Linked DNA regions of Schizosaccharomyces pombe. The gene in region 1 interacts genetically with each later gene. Each region holds a gene or a part of one and is shown in the gene's direction. Other genes may lie near its edges.

Region 1 (7,011 bases):
ATACTACAATTGAAAATTTCCTAATATTTAATAGCATAATCAAAATAGATACTTATTTTTTTCACAATTACTGATTAATTTATTTGGTATGGATATATTACGGATATTATATTATTATACACGATTAGTCATTCCAAATTAAGAGATTTGTAGAGTATTCATCACATACTAAATATTTTCTTTTTTTTTTTAAATAAATAACTTTTTATGCATGGTCGATTCATGACTCAATGGTCTGGCTATGGATGAATTCCACCACAACTTTGGACTTAAGGAGCTTTGAAATAACGTCTCTAAGATATAAAAGGACTTTCTTAAGTAAGAAACTTTCACGCTTTAAAAGCTCTACCGATTCTGAACGTCGTTCGGTTGGATTGTACATATTCTCAATGTTTGTATTTAGGGCAGCATCCGCTAATTGTTCAGCGAGACAAAAAACACGTAAAATATACAAATCTCTTTTAGGAGATAATTGTACAAGCTTTGGCAAATCTTCAACTGAGCATTTTTGACCTTCAAATTCCCAGTCAACTGTTTGAGCTTTTGATTCATCACACACCATTTTGAAGTTTGTAAAGTCTTCAACATTAAGTACAGAAAAAAAAAGAAATGGAGCATGCCACCATAATTCCCCAGATGAATCAGAAACAAATTCAATCATGGGGGGAGTTTTACAAGATCTCCTTTTAGCAAGATCAAGCGAGTCATTAGAATCCTCGGGAATCAAGAGTTTCATAACATTTGTAATCCGATCGCCCTCAGGTTCAGGTAAAAAACCATAAGAAAATAAAAACTCAGCAGAACCTTTTTCACTTCCATAGTTTATCGTAACTTCTTCATTTTCATCAATGTCCTTGTCAAGATAGAGCTGCATAGCATCTTCCGAAAATGACCATTTTGCATTAGACTTAGAGGAGTGATTACATAAATCAATCACAGGAGCTAAAACTGGATCTTTAAAGGGACTTTCAAGGCACCTACTGTGAAACAAAGCATCAGCATGAACCCATTTTGGGAGTGTTATTTTACTAGGCCAGGAATCAGAATACCGCTGGTTTAATGAAAGCCACTCTTGTTGTAAAATTTTTCTCTTGACACAAACTGGATTAAAAATCGAAGTGCCTTGGAGGCTGTAGACTTCTTTTTCGGGCCATTGTGCAGGCGTATTGATAGATAAAGGAAGAACCGTTAAAAACTTATCCCACTTGTTGGTTCGGGGTTGAATACCGAGCCATAAATAGCAAAGAAATAACATAGCCTGAGTTCTGAAACTCATATCGTTCCATTCCTCAAGCGTTGCGATTGAAGCGAATTTATCACAAGAATTTCGAAATTGTTCAACTGTTTTGCGGCATATTATATTTTCAAGTGGAACCTCTAAAAGAACAGTTCCAGAAGTATACCTATTCAAAGAAAAAATTCCATTGCCTTTCTTTCGTATTTTTTTTATAGTAATTTGTTTTGCTCCCGGCGCAAATTGGTTGACCAACTCATTGTATTTGATATCCATTGACTTGATTTTCTCAGTCTTAAGCCAAAACAACGACGGAAAACTTAACAATAAAATGTATTTAATCGAGTTGAAATTTATTGGTTGTTTATTAATAACTCCACGACTTTTCTAAGTCAATAGCAACGAAAATACCCTGTCCCTAGAGAAACAACCGAAGCGACATTAACTTTCGGTAACTCGAACCCAACCCTATATGAACAAAAATACGACGCTTGCATCACAAACGGCAGCCGATTTTTGTACTATAAGTAATTTATGATTTTATTATATCTAGTGGTCATTAGCCTAATACGATTGTCGGTTTAGTTGAAAAATAATATAAAATATTGGAACCTCAAAATAAATAAGTAGTATGTGACAGCTTAAATTATGTATTATTAATATACTAGTAACCTGAGCAGAACAGAGGAAAAATATATTGGCAAAATTATGTGAATCTACATGAAATCTGTTAACTATTGAAATCAATTTATTTCTCCAATTTTTCGTTTTATGGTTAAAATTAATATAAGGACGCAGACTAATATTTTAACAGAGTAGTAGTAAAAAATCCCTATAGAGCTTTTTTGGTTGGTTTATATAGAAACAAGCTTTCTAAAAAGTTATCAAATCATTGTATCTTCTTGCTGATTAAGTACAATACCCTACGGTAGTACCTGGTACCTAATAGGTCTACACTGTCAAATTCATCAGATCCGATGGGCCCACTATAGCAGAGTTTCACGAACTAATTGGATTAATATCTCTATTTACTAATTCATCAAATGCAGGTGGTCCGTTCAGTAAATCTTTTTTGACAGAATATTGAGGATATATTATTTACTTTTAACATCTGTACTAAATAGCGAACTAAAGTAATTATATTATAATAAGCTATAGCGATACTGAGACTGTACTATTTGTCAATAGTCGGCGTTTAAGGAACTGTAAGGCAAATTATAAATTTGCGAGCGGTTAAAATTTAGTATATGAAAGGGATTCTCACAATATCAATAGTTGTCCTCCACCAAGCTACATTGCAAGGCCTAATCGGGTTAATTGTGGGATTTGGAACGGCATTGCAGAGAAATGACATCCTCTGTGTTAATTCAGGGTTACGAAGAGGACGATGTCCTCAAATTATTGCAGGAATTGTTGGATGCTGAAACTTCTCAAAGCTGTGCTGATGTAGGTAAAAAAATTGCCCAGCTTTTTTCAAATGACAACCCTTTAGTCACTTTGAAGACTACGGGGTTTTTGGATGGCTTGGAACGTGCAGCTCGCAATAAGAAGTCGGGATTCCATCGTGAAGCTGCCATGATTGGTTTTGCTACTGTTATTAAAAATTTGGGTACGCCTTCCGAAGTTGTATTCCTTCCTTATCTTCCTACTATTTTGGATTCGTTCTCGGATCGTGGTGAAGTAGTTAGACAAGCCGCCAAAATGGCCGCCCAAGCCCTCTTGGATTGTCTTCCTGCAGGAGCCGTAGAAACGCGCTTAATTCCAAGCTTGATTTCTTACTTAGACGATTCATCTATCAAATGGCCTAGTAAAGTGGCTGCTTTGCAATTACTGGGCTCTCTTGCATCATCATCCCCCAAGGCTGTTGCTGATTACATGGCCGCTCTCATTCCTTGTATTAAAGAACGAATGCATGATACGAAACCGGAAATTTCTCGTGCCGCTATTACATGCATGTTGAACTTATGTTCCGTCGTTGAAAACAACGACATTATTCCTCATATACCAAAGCTCGTCGATTGTATGGCTCATCCGGAAACACTGGAAGCTTGTATTAAAGATTTAAGCGCTACAACATTTGTAGCTACAGTTGAATCAGTTGCTTTAGCTGTGCTCGTTCCTATCTTAAAGCGAGCATTAGCTCAGAGATCACAGTCTATGCTGCGGTTGACTGTCATTATTACTGACAACTTATGTAAACTGGTTCCTGATCCTGCCGAGGCATCTGATTTTCTTCCTGAGTTAATTCCGGACGTTGAGCGTATTGCTCAAACTGCTGCTATGCCTGAAGTTCGTGCCCTTGCTTCTCATGCACTTACTACTCTAAACAAGGCTGCAGCTGCTCAGGCTGCAAAGGCTGCAAACAATTCTGAGAAACAGGCGTTAGATAGCGCTTGTAAAGAATTACGTGAGGCCGTCCTTAAAAACACTAGTGTACCACATGAGTTGGCCAACAGTATCATAGATTATGTCTGCGATGCCTTAGCAGCATTGTATAAGTCAAATAATTTTGACAAAGACAAATGGACTTCGCAATTAGGTGTGCTTTATTTATCTCCACTTGTCGGGGAAGAATTGGCTTCACAAATATCATCAAAGATATATGATGACCTTCACGCCTTCTATAAGTCATTAAATTCTGTTGATGGGATTTCAAACCTTACTATTGAGGAAGAGGAACTAGTTAACACTGATTTTTCTTTGGCATACGGTGGCAGATTGCTTCTGAGTCATACCAATCTTCACCTTTATAGAGGTCATCGATACGGTGTTGTTGGTCACAATGGTTGTGGTAAATCAACCTTGTTACGCGCTATTGGTGATTACAAGGTTGAAAACTTTCCCTCACCTGATGAGGTTAAAACTTGCTTTGTTGCACATAGTCTTCAAGGCGAGGATACTAGTATGGCTATCCTTGACTTTGTTGCTCAAGATAAGGCGTTACTGACTATGAATGTTACCCGTCAAGAAGCTGCTGATGCTTTGCATTCTGTTGGTTTTACTGCGGAGATGCAGGAAAATCCTGTTGCTTCTTTATCTGGTGGTTGGAAAATGAAACTGGAGTTGGCTCGTGCCATGTTGCAGAAAGCTGATATTTTGCTTTTGGATGAACCAACAAATCATCTTGATGTTGCCAATATTGCATGGCTGGAAGCATATTTAACCTCTCAAAAGAATATTACTTGCTTGATAGTTTCTCACGACTCTTCATTTTTGGACCACGTGTGTACTGACATCATTCATTATGAAGGTGTTAAAAACCAGGCAAAAAAGCTTGGTTATTATCAAGGTAATCTTTCAGCTTTTGTCAAGGTCAAACCGGAAGCTAAATCATACTATACATTGACAGCCACAAACGAGAAGTTTGTTTTTCCACCTCCCGGTATCTTAACTGGTGTGCGCTCAAACACACGTCTCATATTAAAAATGACAAACGCTTCTTATACATATCCCAACGCGAAGAAGAAGTCATTAGATAATGTTACCGTTGGGTTATCTTTATCTTCTCGTGTTGCCATTTTAGGTCCTAACGGTGCTGGTAAATCAACGCTTATTAAAGTTCTTATCGGTGAAGTAATCCCTCAAGAAGGAAAAGTTTTCAAGCATCCCAACTTGCGTGTGGGTTACGTTGCTCAGCATGCCTTTCATCACTTGGATCAACATCTGGAAAAAACGCCAAGTCAATATATTCAATGGCGTTATGCTGGAGGACAGGACCGCGAAGTTTCAGAGAAGGAATCTCGAAAACTTACCGAAGAAGACCGTGCTCAGCTTCAGCGTGATATTACGGTCAATGGCGAACGTAGAAGAGTGGAAGCTTTGATTGGCCGTCAAAAACTAAAAAAGTCATTTCAATATGAAATTAAATGGTTTGGGAAGCCTCATAAATACAATACGTGGGTGTCTCGAGAAATATTGCTTGAAAATGGGTTTCAAAAGTTTGTACAGGCTTTTGATGATATGGAATCTTCTCGCGAAGGTCTCGGTTTCCGTGAATTGATTCCCGAAGACATCAGGGCACATTTTGAGGATGTGGGCCTTCCTGGCGACATTGCTGATTACAGCCCCATTAGTAGTTTGTCTGGCGGTCAAAAGGTTAAAGTTGTTATTGCTGCGTGTCTCTGGAATAACCCCCAGCTTTTGGTTTTGGACGAACCTACAAACTTTTTGGACAGAGATGCATTAGGTGGTTTAGCTGTTGCTATTCGTGATTGGGAAGGTGGGGTCGTTATGATTTCACATAATGAAGAATTTGTTTCTGCGTTGTGTCCTGAACACTGGCATGTAGAAGCGGGTAAGGTTACCGGTAAGGGCAAGACCGCTGTTGACGATGGAAAGTTTGAAGATCTGTCGGAGAAAGATTTGAAAAAGATTGAGGCTAAAGCTACCAAAAAGAAGAAATTGACGAGAAATGAAATCAAGGCCAAAGAAAGACGTGCTAGAGAGAGAGAATTAGCATGGTTACAATCTCCCAAGGGCACCGAAAAACCCAAATCATTCTTCTCTGATGATGAAGAATAATTTCAGACTAATTTTTTAATTCGCTCTTTGGATTGACAAGTTGAGAGTTGTTTATCCTTTAATTTTCTTTAGACGGTGCTAGTTGTTGAAGTTGGTCTTTTACATATTTACGGTTTACTGATATACCTTTTAGACTTAATTTATATATATAGAACTTGGTGGATGGTATCGTGGATAATATTAATATTAGTCGCTTTTTATATGTTTTGTTTATCGTTAGTGCATGTTATAGTTGTATTAGACGTATACACTTTTGTCATTGACTCTTGTAAAAGGTGTCAAGAGAACTATGTATTTTTTGGGTTTTTTTCTAGATATTCGTATGAAAATGTGATAGACTTTTTAATATGATTAATCAGGAAATTTCTATAAACATGCACTCAACGAAAAATAGGGTACTTAATCTTCAAGAAATAATTGGTGTAGTCTTAGTTCACCTACTCAAAGAGCCTTCAAAATAAAGGCAAAAGAACTGAACTAAGAGTTTTACTACTGATGATATAGTTCATTTAATATTAAACAGGGAAATTTTCAAACAATAGTATGGTATTGGATAAACTGTTGTACACAGGGTACAACGTCAGTACTGAATGTGGTTATTGTAAAAGTGGAAGAAAGACCGAGCATTTTGGTTTATTAGCAGAAAAGCTCAGTTGTGAAGTAAGCGTATAACTCTGCTTTTTGCAAATTTTGCTAACCTACATTTAACCTCAGGACTACCAGCGATTGATTGATTTGGGATGGAGGTAAAAACCTTTATTAGTTAACATTGCTAATATAAAATAAGACGTTCAGGACATTATTTATATAAACCCAACGGGAAAACATCTTGCTGTTCTCTTTATACAATCAGGTACTTAGCATAAGTCGCCAAATATGATTGATTACTAACCGCCGAATGTTGAAGACTCGACAGCTATAATTTTAAAATTGCAAAAGAGCAAAAGAAGGCAATAAAAAAATGGGTCAAATATGTAAATGGAAAGCCATTAAAACCTATGAAAAGCGAAATTAGCACAGATTATTTGAACAATGCCTTTCAAACTATAGAATCGCTCGGAGCTGAAAAATACTCTGTAACTATGGAGCCTTGCACTTACACCGATGAGAAATTTGAAGTCTTCAAAAAGTATCAAATGCAAGTTCATTTAGAGAAAGAAGAGGAAATCACGAAAAAAGGATTTAGCAGGTTTCTTTGCAACTCTCCTTTATTTAATGAAGACAAGGGGATAAAGTATGGTTCTTATCATCAGATG
Region 2 (7,110 bases), on another chromosome or scaffold:
TACCGCTTGTGAGCGTGCTAAGCGTACTCTTTCTTCTTCTGCTCAAGCTAGCATTGAGATTGACTCTTTGTTCGAGGGTATTGACTTCTACACCTCCATTACTCGTGCCCGTTTTGAGGAGCTTTGCGCCGATCTCTTCCGTAAAACCATGGAGCCCGTCGAGCGTGTTCTCCGTGACTCCAAGGTCGACAAGGCCTCCGTCAACGAGATTGTTTTAGTCGGTGGTTCCACCCGTATTCCCCGTGTTCAAAAGCTTGTCTCTGACTTCTTCAACGGTAAGGAGCCTTGCAAGTCCATCAACCCTGATGAAGCTGTTGCCTATGGTGCTGCCGTCCAAGCTGCTGTCTTGACTGGTGACACTTCTGAGAAGACTCAAGATCTTTTGTTGCTTGATGTTGCTCCCCTTTCCATGGGTATCGAGACTGCTGGTGGTGTCATGACTCCCCTTATCAAGCGTAACACTACCATCCCTACCAAGAAGTCCGAGATCTTTTCCACTTACTCTGATAACCAACCCGGTGTGTTGATTCAAGTGTTTGAAGGTGAGCGTGCTCGTACCAAGGACTGTAACTTGCTTGGTAAGTTTGAGCTTTCCGGTATCCCCCCTGCACCTCGTGGCGTTCCTCAAATTGAAGTCACTTTTGATGTTGATGCTAACGGTATTTTGAATGTCTCTGCTCTCGAGAAGGGTACTGGTAAGACTCAGAAGATTACCATCACCAATGACAAGGGTCGTCTTTCCAAGGAGGAAATTGACCGTATGGTTGCCGAAGCTGAGAAGTACAAGGCTGAGGATGAGGCCGAGTCCGGTCGTATCCAAGCCAAGAACCACTTGGAGTCTTATGCTTACTCTCTTCGTAACTCTTTGGATGATCCTAACCTTAAGGACAAGGTTGATGCTTCCGACAAGGAGACCGTTGACAAGGCTGTCAAAGAGACCATTGAATGGCTCGACAGTAACACTACTGCTGCCAAGGATGAGTTCGAGGCCAAGCAAAAGGAGCTTGAAAGTGTTGCTAACCCCATCATGGCTAAGATCTACCAAGCTGGTGGTGCTCCCGGTGGCATGCCTGGCGCCGCTCCTGGTGCTGCTCCTGGTGCTGCTCCTGGTGCTGCCCCTGGTGGTGACAATGGTCCTGAGGTTGAGGAGGTTGATTAAAATACTGTGCATGAAGAAAAATCTTTTAATGGGCGGTTTTAATTGTGAAAATTATGTTGTGAACAATGTTTTTTTGTAATAGACATGACTAACGAGGTTATATAAATATTAACAAATTAATAGTTAATAAATTTGTTTTAAAGAATCTTTTTTCTACTAGTATGACTGTAAATATATGTAAGTGTTTTCGTGTTTTCGTTTGCTTTGTTACTGTGGTAATAAGTCAAAGTATTAAGTTATTTGCTTCATATGTGTTAAACTGCTTAAGGAATTAGTTTCGTGTTATGAAATTTAAATTTTGCATGTAAATTGAAGAATACTCACATATAGTTTGAGTGTATATAGGTGTATTTATGGTATGAGTTCTTTGATTTCCATTTCAGAATTGCATCCTTTTCATAATAAATAATAGTATTGAGCTTTACAATGGTAACTATTTGAGTACAGTAAATATTCATGCAGATGCGTTTGAAATCGACAAATGTCTAGAAGAAATGTTTCAATATATTTAAAATAATAGAAGCCGAGTAAGATGCCACCTGAACAAAACTTTCAAAGCATGAAATGAAGATTATATACAGTTTAATTTTATTCGCATCCAGCAGATAGCGCGTTATGCAACGTTGCTGTTAAATACATTACGATGCACTGTGACGGGTTCGTTATGTGCTCAATGTTTTGTAGAAGTAAGGAAAGATACATGCGTAAACCAACCTTTTGACAACTTTAGATCCTTTTGCTGATGGAATCCAAGGAAGCCAAAGAGAAAGGGGTAAATACTTCTGACTCTAAGGGATCTCAGATAGAAAGTTCTATATCGGATTTACGTGAAAAATCACAACATTTGTTTGGTGTCCTCCTAGAACCTCAAGTGCCAGTTATTCAATATGGATTAAATCAATTAGAAGAGAAGGCTCGAAATTTAGAGTCAAAAGTTTTATTGACGCGTGACGGTGATACGAAAGCGTAAGTTGATATTAGATTGAACGTTGTGTCGAGTGACAACAAGATTAGAAATATTTCATTACTTAACAGTATACGTTTATTAAATTGCTTTGGCACTCTTGTCTTCTATTCCTTTTTTCTGCTATATATGCCTGAATTTGAATAATTATTAACTCAATCTAGTCATTACTTGCTGGCTGAAAGTGGTATGAACGCTGAGCAAACACGCCAAAAGATTTATTCCATTCATATTCATTCTCCTTGGGATCAATTGGAGCTTGACAAGAAGTCTTTGTATGAGCAACCTCATACGAAACTATACAATGGACAAAATGTGGTTGCTAGCATAGAGAACGGCTATCAAAGCAATGTTTACGAGTTCCAATTACGACTAATGAAAAATAATGGCATAGCGTGGGAAAATACAAAAACGGAATTTATGGAAGATGTCGGTAAATTGCTTCACTCCAAGGATAATTCCGGTTTAGGTACTTCAATCAGCATGTCGCTTAGACCAAATTTGGCTAGGCCGTTATTGACAGCTTCATCCGTTAAATCACAGAGTGTTCGTTCGTTACGAGAAGTCGGTTCAAACCTACCAATTCCTACAGGGTCCTTGACCAAGATAGACGGCCTTAATAATCAACTTTCTAATGACTTGACTAGATCACAGACGACGAACATTTTTGGTTTTGCCGAAAAAGCTAGTTCATTTGCAGCAGCTGTTCACAAATTAAATGAGGCACGGATTAGGAATCAAGCCTGCCATGTTTGGTCTTTGTTTGCATCGGTTAGTCAGATGGTAAATACCGAAGTTATTCAACTTTTCGATGCATGGTCTTTGTTGGCCCATATGATTGATGAAACCCGGTATGGTATGGGTGATTTTGAAGCTAGACATTTGGCTCTGGATTCTAGCTCTGCCGCGCTTGCCGTAGAGAAAAACTGCATAGAAGGGTCTTTAAAGTATTTAGAAAACCAGTTTTTATCATTGATTGATCTGCACCTCTCGGATGCTGGTCATATTACTACTGTCAATTCTGTGGAGAAAGTGATCGCTTACAGTAAGCTTCGATTCTACAAAAACGGGTCATGGATTAAGTCTACCGTATCAGTGGTCAATGATGTTCCTTTGTGGGTTGTCTTGTTCTATCTAATGAGGTCAGGGCAGTTAGATGCTGCCTTGCAATTTGTGAACACCTATTCCGACGATTTTGAAAAACTTGGTAGATCGTTCCCACTTTATTTCTACTCCTATGCCAAAAACCCTTCTCTTCCGTTGCCAAAACAATTGCGTGATCGCTTACAGGCTGAGTATGGTCAACTAATGAAATATGCTCCTGAAGATCCTTTTAAACACGCAATATATAAATTATTAGGGAACTGTGAACCACATCGCGTATCCCTTCCTGAAGTTTGTGTAACGTCCGAGGATTATATGTGGATTCAATTAATGTTTTGCCGTGTAAATCAGAACGACGTGATTGATTCCAACGGTGGGCAATCCACAAATTCTCTCTTTAACTTATATCAGCTAGAAAAGAAAATTGTCGCTTTTGGTCCCAGGTACTTCAATCCAAAGAATAATACACCAACCAACTATTTTCTCGCTCTTTTAATGTGTGGTGAATTTGAACGGGCAATAAGCTTTCTGCACACAAATTATCCAGTGGAGGCTACTCATTTTGCTGTAGCAATGGCTTACTACGGTCTCTTACGTACTAAAAATTACGAAAAAAATGAAAATATCTTGATATATGAAGCTGACGACGTTAAAATTAACTTTCCACAATTGATCATTGCTTACCTGAAACATTTGGAGTATGTTGATGCAGCTGTTTATTTAGACTACATAGCTTGCATACCTTTGGTTCCCGCTTATCAAGCGTGTAGTATTAATTTAACGAAAATACTTCTGCTTCAATCGCATGAGTTTTCAAAGTTTTTGGGGGACATCAAACCGGATACTGAGCGTACAACCGGATTGTTAGACTTGTATCTTCGTCTCATTCCTTTTGATCATGACTCATTACAAAAGTTGTATTTGGAAGGCGCTAGAGAGGCAGACGATGATGGACGGTTTGGGGACTCAATCATACTATACCATTTGCTCGGGGATTACGATACAGTGATTGGTGTTGCTATCAAAAACCTTAGTCAAAGTATTGTTTCTCGAGGTTTATGGTCTATCGATTCCAAAGAAAGTAAAAATATGCATATTTCTTCTAATGTTGTAGCTAGTGAAGCTCCAGATGCCTTGGCTGCAAATCTGTTAGCAATGTACGAATCCAATCCAAAGAAAAGTGCAAAAGTTTCAGCAACCAACAAAAAGGCATTAAAAGTTCTGCTTAAAGTTGTCAAAGTACAAAAACTGTATGGTCAAGAAAAATGGGACGAAGTTCTTCAGCTAATTGAACATTTGGATCTTTTGCCAATCAATGAAGTGCAAGCTGAATTCGAACCCAATGAACAAATTCCACCAATTTCTGCACGTTTACGGCGTCGCGCTTTTGAGTTTTCCACATTCCAGGATGAGGTCTTGAGCGTTATTCCATCCTTAATGTACATTTCCATGTCTTCCATTAAAGCTTTGTACAGAACAATATCTAAACTTCCTGTAGTCAATGAGGAATCAAAGAAGAAATTACAACGTTTGCAATTTAAAGGGTCTATGTTGGTGATGTTCAGTACCATGATAGAATCACGGTTGTCTCCCCAAATTCTAGAATACCTTCAAGCTGAGCAACTGACTCTTCTGTAACGAAGCATTGGCTTCTTTTCTTACTGCGAACTGAACGTTTCATATATCCTCTTGATAGTTGTGTTCAATTTTTTGGTATTTTTGTATCTTTTATGACTTAAAAATAGGAATTTTATTCACTTGCCTTAATGCGTCTTTAAGCTTTTAATTCAATCCCAACATTTATTCATCTTAATGTTTTCCCATTTTTATAGTCTTCGAAACTTTATGAATACAATCTAGTAAACAAATATAATCGGGATTGCATAGCTTGCAAGGTCAAGTTTCTGTCAAATAATTGGTTCGTTTATCTGCTAAATGCTTCAAAATAATTTTGTAAATCATGTTATGCCGAATATTTCATAATAAATTCATATTTACACTTTTCACATAAATCCTCCACTTTATAGCACAGTGAATTTAGTTATGAGCCATTTATTGACTAGCTCAAAAGGCTTTACGTTTTTTACAAATAATTAATTATTTTTTTTAATATGATATGATTCTTATTGATATTTCGAATTCCGCACTCGCCTAAAATATATCGAATAAAATATATTATTTGAACTAAACGAACTAAAAAGTTGAACAACTCAAATCAGTGAAGGAGATATATCTTTTCGACTTTGTTCTACGATATGCCAAACGATTGAAAATTACTTGCCCATAGTTAATATATAATAATTAGTATGTAAACAAAAGGTAAATATAAAACCGAACAGCAATAAATGGGTGCAGGAGTATTTGATATAAGAAAATGTTGAAAATGTTGAAAATTTAATATAGTAATGAATACCAAAATTAAGTTGAATCAGTTTTTGTCTTTTCAAACGAAACAAATTAAAAAATTTTTTAAAAAAACTTTAGCATGGCTATGAACGACCAAATGCTTGAGTGAGATTTTAAATCACGAAACCCGCTACACAGTCAATTATGGTTTGCAGTTGCCAGACACGCGATTAACTATTTATTTAACCAGGCTTAGAACTACAGTGAGTTTTATTTGCGATTTAGTAAAGAGTGTGTATGCGATAGTAACGAACAACGATATTAATCATTGTTATGAGAATTTTAATAATATCATTCACACTGAACCTCATTCCTCAGTTCAGTTATGAGTTATATCGGTGACCGATACTAATAGACTTCTTATAACAATAAATATAATATTGTTAGTTAACATACCGCTTACCGCTATGTTGTAAGTCGCTAGAAATCTCGCCGCAGTGCTATGTATCGTTAAAGCAGATACCAAATTGCGTACTGACATTATAATTATACTACAACGTTTTGCTTCTCAAAAACGTTTAAGGAAATCTAAGTTGGGGTGAATAAAAAGGGCAGTGACAAAATAAATGTGTCAGAAGCAATTACATTAAAATGAGTTTTGGAATTCTACTTTTCACTTGCTATTATTGAAAAAACAGTTTGCTTTGAAACGAGTATTATTCATTTATTTATGTTGAACAGCTGAAATTGAACTCCAGAGCGAATATTCTTGATTTTGCTGTTTCGTTTGTCGCAATCATAGCAATTAATTCGCGCATGTGTTTTATTAAATAAAGAATGATCTTGATGAAATGAAGAATAATTACACTTCTTTGAAAAGTCCTCTAGATGAAGAAGATGAATTGAAGACAGATCATGAAATCGATTTGGAAAAAGGACCACTCCCAGAATATGATTCGGAGGAAGAGGGCGCATTACCTCCATATTCAGGTAAGAATTGTAAACAATAAGAAAGGAATTACTCAATGGAAAGTTGAAACTTGCCATCTTGTCAAATTGCATGCTTTGGTCATTGTTTACAGTCGGCCATGCAATGCACACAATTTGATACATGCTCTTTCTTTACTAAAGTATTTCAATCATATTAATTTAAACAGATCACGCACTTGTAAATAATCCTCCTAACACACATAGAGAAAACAATCCTTCCAGGTCGACAGATAATTCTTCCCCTTTCTTGATAAAACTGCTAATATCATTCACACCAATCTATGTACTGAATGTACTCGCAATTTGTTATCTAACGTATAAGGACGCTTTCTTTAAGGATTATGGTGCAGCAGAATGGACATTATTTGGATTTTGGTGTCTTGTTTGCACTTTGGCTTTAATATTCTTGACTTGTAAGTGAGACAATGGGTAATCTTACCTTCAGTCACTAACTCATTAGACTTCTATGAAACTTGGGTCAAGGCAGTTAAAGTAACTGTAATTTCCTTGGCAAAATGTGTAAAGGTGATTTCTATTGGCCTTTTCA
Region 3 (5,625 bases), on another chromosome or scaffold:
GGCAATAACAACAACCAGAATTACAATAACAACAACAACTCATCGCAAGGTGGAAATTCTCAGGGCGGTTCTGGTCTTTTAGGGCAGGCGGTGAATATGTTCTTGAAATCGTGAATATCATTTTTCCTTCGCTTAGTCATTAATTCCTAAACCTCTTCTATCCCACAGAAACTTCAAACGCTAAGCTATTCAAATTGAAAGCGTTCGTTCTCATTTTCTTTGGTAAACAGGTTGGTGAGCGCATTCTAGTTCTTTTGATAGTTAGAATCGTATACATATACCATATACATATTTATACAGACGTCAAGGCAAGTGGTTACTCTTGGTTCATATTTAATTAGTATTTACTATATAATTGAGTATCGATGTTTATGGGTCATATAGGTGTCATTCAACCTTTCTAAATCGAATAGTACGTAGCATTAGAGGTATGTCTGTATTCTATAGACAAATTAGTTTGTTTTAGTAGCTTTTCATCTAAATAGTTAATATCTGATATATGCTGAAATCTACAGTGTAAACAAATATCCTTACACAATACTTATAATAATATGCTTATCGTTATAGTATGTTAACTCTCTTTGAGAAGCGCAGCATGCATCCTGTTCACTTGAAATAACGATATCGCTTACATCCATCTTTTTCACAGGATCCAATGGTTGGGTTTGGGAATCAGCCATGTCCCATCTGCCATCAGCAAAATAAAAACGAGCGTGAGTATCGCTGTGTAGGCATCTATATATAGACCAAATACCCGCTGAAAGTTGGAATAAGCAATCGATACTTTTATCTCGGCTGATCGCAAATTAAAAAAGCATACTCTCATTTAAATAGGTTCCGTTGTTTGAACTTTTAGATTTTTCGACAAATTGCTACTGCTTCTGATTTTCCTATTATTTAAATAGTTTACAATGTTTACTAGAACAATTAGGCAACAGATTAGGAGATCTTCTGCCCTTTCTTTAGTGCGAAACAATTGGACTCGTGAAGAAATTCAAAAAATTTACGACACACCATTGATCGATTTGATTTTTAGAGCCGCTTCCATACATAGAAAATTCCACGACCCCAAGAAAGTTCAACAATGCACTTTACTTTCTATTAAAACAGGTGGATGTACAGAAGATTGCAAATATTGTGCGCAATCTTCCCGCTACAATACCGGTGTCAAGGCCACTAAGCTCATGAAAATTGACGAAGTTTTGGAAAAGGCTAAAATTGCAAAGGCTAAAGGAAGCACTAGATTTTGTATGGGAAGTGCCTGGCGTGATTTGAATGGTCGCAATCGCACCTTTAAAAATATTTTGGAAATCATCAAAGAGGTTCGCAGCATGGATATGGAAGTTTGCGTAACCCTTGGTATGTTAAATGAACAGCAAGCCAAGGAACTAAAGGATGCAGGCTTGACGGCATACAATCATAATCTTGATACCTCTCGCGAATATTACTCAAAGATTATCAGCACTAGGACATATGATGAACGGTTAAATACTATTGACAATCTTCGGAAAGCTGGGTTGAAGGTTTGTAGCGGTGGTATTTTGGGTCTAGGGGAGAAAAAGCATGATCGTGTAGGATTGATTCACTCGTTAGCAACTATGCCAACACATCCTGAATCTGTACCCTTTAATCTTTTGGTCCCGATTCCTGGCACCCCTGTAGGAGACGCTGTAAAAGAGAGACTTCCGATTCATCCTTTCCTTCGCTCCATTGCAACAGCTCGTATTTGCATGCCAAAGACTATCATTCGTTTTGCAGCTGGACGTAACACGTGCTCCGAGTCCGAGCAAGCACTTGCTTTCATGGCTGGTGCTAATGCAGTTTTTACCGGTGAAAAAATGCTTACTACTCCTGCTGTTTCTTGGGACTCAGACAGTCAGCTTTTTTACAATTGGGGTTTGGAAGGAATGCAAAGCTTTGAATATGGAACTTCTACTGAGGGAGAAGATGGCACTTTCACCCTTCCCCCGAAAGAGCGCCTTGCTCCTAGCCCTAGTCTTTAATCGTTGTAATGAGTTTCCATTCATTCTATTTGTAAACTAAAGTCTCTTTTTTAAAAGCTAATTTTGGTTTTCCCAGCCTGGTTCTTTGATGTGATTCCAAAATCAAATCAGACTGTAATTTTTCTTCTTCTACCAGTTACATTCATTTAATAAAGCCACCGTGTTGCTGATATATTGATACTTTAAATTTGTTGCAAGGAACTTCCATTTATTGTTTTTCCAATAGAAGTTGGGAGATTTTGAGTATTTCAATATCAAATCCCAGACATCATAAGAGCCTCACAGTTAGCAAAAAGCCGTTTAGAACCCTTTGAATTTACTTGTGCTAATGTGCTGTTCATTCGATAAATCAACCGTTAGGTTATTATTATTCAAATAGACGACTTCAGATAAGGTTAATATGGGACAAATTCTTATTAGATGGTTTATTCCCTACGGAACAGAAGTCTTTCGCATATTAAACATAGATCAATGCACGAATTACTCTCAGTTTGCATATTAAACAACTTCTGTAAATTATCTCACTCATCACGACAACGCTTGATTGCTAATTATAAATTTGTTACTAGAGATAAACTTAAGTTCGCTCACATAAACGTGGAGTGAGTTTTGAGCTTTAGCTACTATATATTTTGTTATAGATAAAACTAGCTAATAAATAGCGTGCACTTGAGTTCGATAAGCGCACTTTGTAACCGACCAATATAGTTATATTTCCAGCAAAGTTCTACGACTTCCGTTTTATATACCAACTGACTTTTAGAAAATTGGTCTTCTGAAAAACGTTGGTAGAGCGACTTTATTGCATTTTTGTTGCCTTCATTTTCTTGAATTTCTGCTACGATACACTGTGTTGTAAGCGAGTCGTTTATTGTCATTTAATGAAGTTTAACGAATTCAAAGTATTAATTATCCAAGAGCTGTATGTCATTTTGTAGAAAACATGAACCAAACGTAAAAAGGAATAATTATAAACGCAAAAACTGGTAAATGCAAGATTGGCGCGCAGCATTAGAGGTAATTTCTGATTATTTTACTTCTCACTAAGTGATTTAGGAATATTATTCGAGATATCTAGATTCTGCGCTAGTTCTTGCAATTGTAAATGACAGTGATGATAGTAATACCGCACGAGAAATACTTGAAGCTTTGTCCATCGAAAGCCAGTGTGATTCACATGAGGAACATTGGGATAATTTGAGGCGTGATGAGCAGGAATTATTAAACCTTAAAACTCTAGATGAAGAGATAAACAAAATAGATGAGGAGGATTTTACCTGGGAACTAAAGGATTCGAGTTTAGAACTAGATCCCGATGTCTACAATTTTTTGAGATCTATGTTTAGCGATCTTTCTGCTGCGCGGGTTCAATTGGTTCAAGCGAAATGTCAAAACGACCTCGTTCGCTCAAGCGATGAACTGTTAAATCATCGTGCCATACAGGAAAGTGAACAGATAGAGACTGCTGCTGACGCTCTGATTACTTCCAACATAGGTCACCGTTCTCGTCAAAGGAAAAAGAAAACTAAAAAAGCAACTAATTCTAGAAAACCTTTGAGTAAATTTCAATCCAACACTGAGGAAGTCAATGAAGACCCAATTCTAAAGCCTTCTCTTTCCGTTTGGGAAAATAATCGCCTGTTGATTGAGAAGCTTACATCTATTCTCAATATTCCATCTTCACAAATTAATCATGAGTTTTATAAAAATTCGAGTGCTTGGCCAATAACCATCAGAAATTTAATTCATAGGCACCAGCCGCTATCAAATATAACAAATAATGAGTTGATGAAGTATCAAGAAGAAGCAACTCAACTGGCGAAAGATACTGGTCTTTCACTTAAAATTTGCACAGACGTTTTGATTTGTAGTAACGACTACAAAAACGCATTATGGATTTTATGCTTAATTAAGGAAACTCAGCATAATGAAATGGGAAACATCAAACTGAGTTCACAAACCGCGAAGTCAAATTCTTCGACGCAGACCAAAACATGCTTAAATGATCAGAGTAGTAAGTTGGTTGAAGATGATGAAGCGTTGTCTGCTGAAGATTGTAACCGTCTTGCCGAAGAGTATTTGGAATTACGAAATATGCAATATTCTAACTCGGCTAAAGAATATCGAAGAAGCAAAAGTAATCATCTTTTTGGTGGTTCTGCAATGTATCATGCTCAGTTAGGGCGCGAATACCACGAAAAGGCACTTAAGTACCGATCTCTTGCTATGCGATCTCTTGCACATTCTGGAACATCTCACTCTTTGGATTTGCATGGAGCTACTGTCCGCGAGGCAAAGACAATAGTCCGTGAACGTGTTGCTGCTTGGTGGGCTAAAGAGGCAGATACTTCTCCTAATAGTATTCGTCCTTTTGTTATTGTCACGGGTCGTGGCAATCATAGTATAGGACTTGAAGCTCGACTTTTGCCGGCGATCGTCAGATTGTTACAGCAGGATCATTGGAGGTTTGATGCTGAGCATGGTCAAATAACTGTATACGGTATTAATCGACACTCTAAGCTTAATAGCAATGCATGAGCATGCGATCTATTAACTTGCGCATTGCTAGTCTGCCATATTCTTTTGGTTTGTTCTATTTATTTATTTTCGCTCTTCCAACTGCGTTAACATGTTACACCAACATTTTTTGCTTAAGCCCTTATCTCGAGCAAAATATTATTTATTATCAAAAGTAAGTAATTGTAGTTACTTGCTCGCCGAGGAGAGCACATACTAAAAAAAATTGATTCATAGGGTTTCAATAGATTCTTGGTTAAAGAGATTAGGTAATTACAATAAGTGTAATTGATGTAGGTTTCATCATGGAACAGAAAACAATAGTCGTAAAGTTACAGAACGTTTAGTCGAGAATATCAACATTACAATAAGGCTTTTGTATTTGGCAAGTATTATAAACCAAAGAACAAATGTATCCAAAAGATAGACGCTTTAGTAATGCAGAAAATCGCAATCCTCATGCTAGAATTGCATTATAAATGGGAAAAAAGGCGCCACGTATTTAAGATACTTCGGAAGACGCATAGGAGGATGCGCCGCTGTCATACAGAAACCGTGAATTGGTGCGAGAAAATGGAACAGTATTATTTCTTCCTGCCCTTTCAAGGGATCCATCAGAAAGTAAGTACGCAGGAGAGTAAGTTCCATCGGGATTTTTTAAAGCAGGGTTAGGAGACGTATCAGAAACGCCGCCCAAAGAGGTGTAACCTCTATCATATAAAGAACAGTATTTTGTGTTTGTTTCAAGAAGTAGCTAATGTTTAGTATATTGATATAGTAATATGTCAAAGAGAAAACTTACATCCCATATTTCAGTATAAGACCAATCCAATATTGGTTGTATTCTCATAAATTTAGGCCAACCTTTGTCTGTCACTTCAAAAGCTATACGATGCAAGCCATGCGGATCCAGCCGCCGAATACCTATAAGTATCGCTTGAATGTGCTTATGTTCCTTGAGAAACTTGCAAAATGCTTCTTTCATGGGAAGTGATATTTTAATGATATTAAGGCGATATTTTGACTGACACTCGTTCACAAAATCATCCATCTCTGGAAATTCATCTCTAGGTCGAACAAAAACGAAAGGAATATTAGAAAGTTT

The links.
Region 2: of elf1 (region 1) and npp106, a mutation in one rescues a mutant of the other (synthetic rescue), as found in Schizosaccharomyces pombe (one study listed by BioGRID).
Region 3: of elf1 (region 1) and cue2, changing one suppresses a phenotype caused by changing the other (phenotypic suppression), as found in Schizosaccharomyces pombe (one study listed by BioGRID).

Annotation. Positions count from the first base shown.
Region 1 is NC_003424.3:2,078,018-2,085,028, reverse strand, and holds elf1 (AAA family ATPase Elf1), read left to right. Parts: upstream 1-2,511; 5' UTR 2,512-2,581; coding exon 2,582-5,755; 3' UTR 5,756-5,959; downstream 5,960-7,011. Other genes in the region: lysine methyltransferase Set8, read right to left, coding at 221-1,510; ate1 (arginine-tRNA--protein transferase), read left to right, coding at 6,299-6,415, 6,470-6,501, 6,543-6,608, 6,663-7,011. UniProt on the Schizosaccharomyces pombe protein: Has a direct role in the mRNA export process. Appears to act within the rae1 mediated mRNA export pathway.
Region 2 is NC_003421.2:2,058,028-2,065,137, forward strand, and holds npp106 (nucleoporin Npp106), read left to right. Parts: upstream 1-1,870; 5' UTR 1,871-1,901; coding exon 1,902-2,125; intron 2,126-2,287; coding exon 2,288-4,865; 3' UTR 4,866-5,307; downstream 5,308-7,110. Other genes in the region: heat shock protein Ssa2, read left to right, coding at 1-1,159; wtf meiotic drive antidote-like Wtf21, read left to right, coding at 6,425-6,563, 6,731-6,976, 7,024-7,110.
Region 3 is NC_003421.2:176,046-181,670, forward strand, and holds cue2 (SMR domain-containing protein), read left to right. Parts: upstream 1-2,946; 5' UTR 2,947-2,993; coding exon 2,994-3,020; exon of another isoform or gene 3,021-3,059; coding exon 3,060-4,541; 3' UTR 4,542-4,768; downstream 4,769-5,625. Other genes in the region: SPOM_SPCC1235.01 (uncharacterized protein), read left to right, coding at 1-114; bio2 (biotin synthase), read left to right, coding at 912-2,003; FAD synthetase Nad1, read right to left, coding at 5,023-5,274, 5,323-5,625.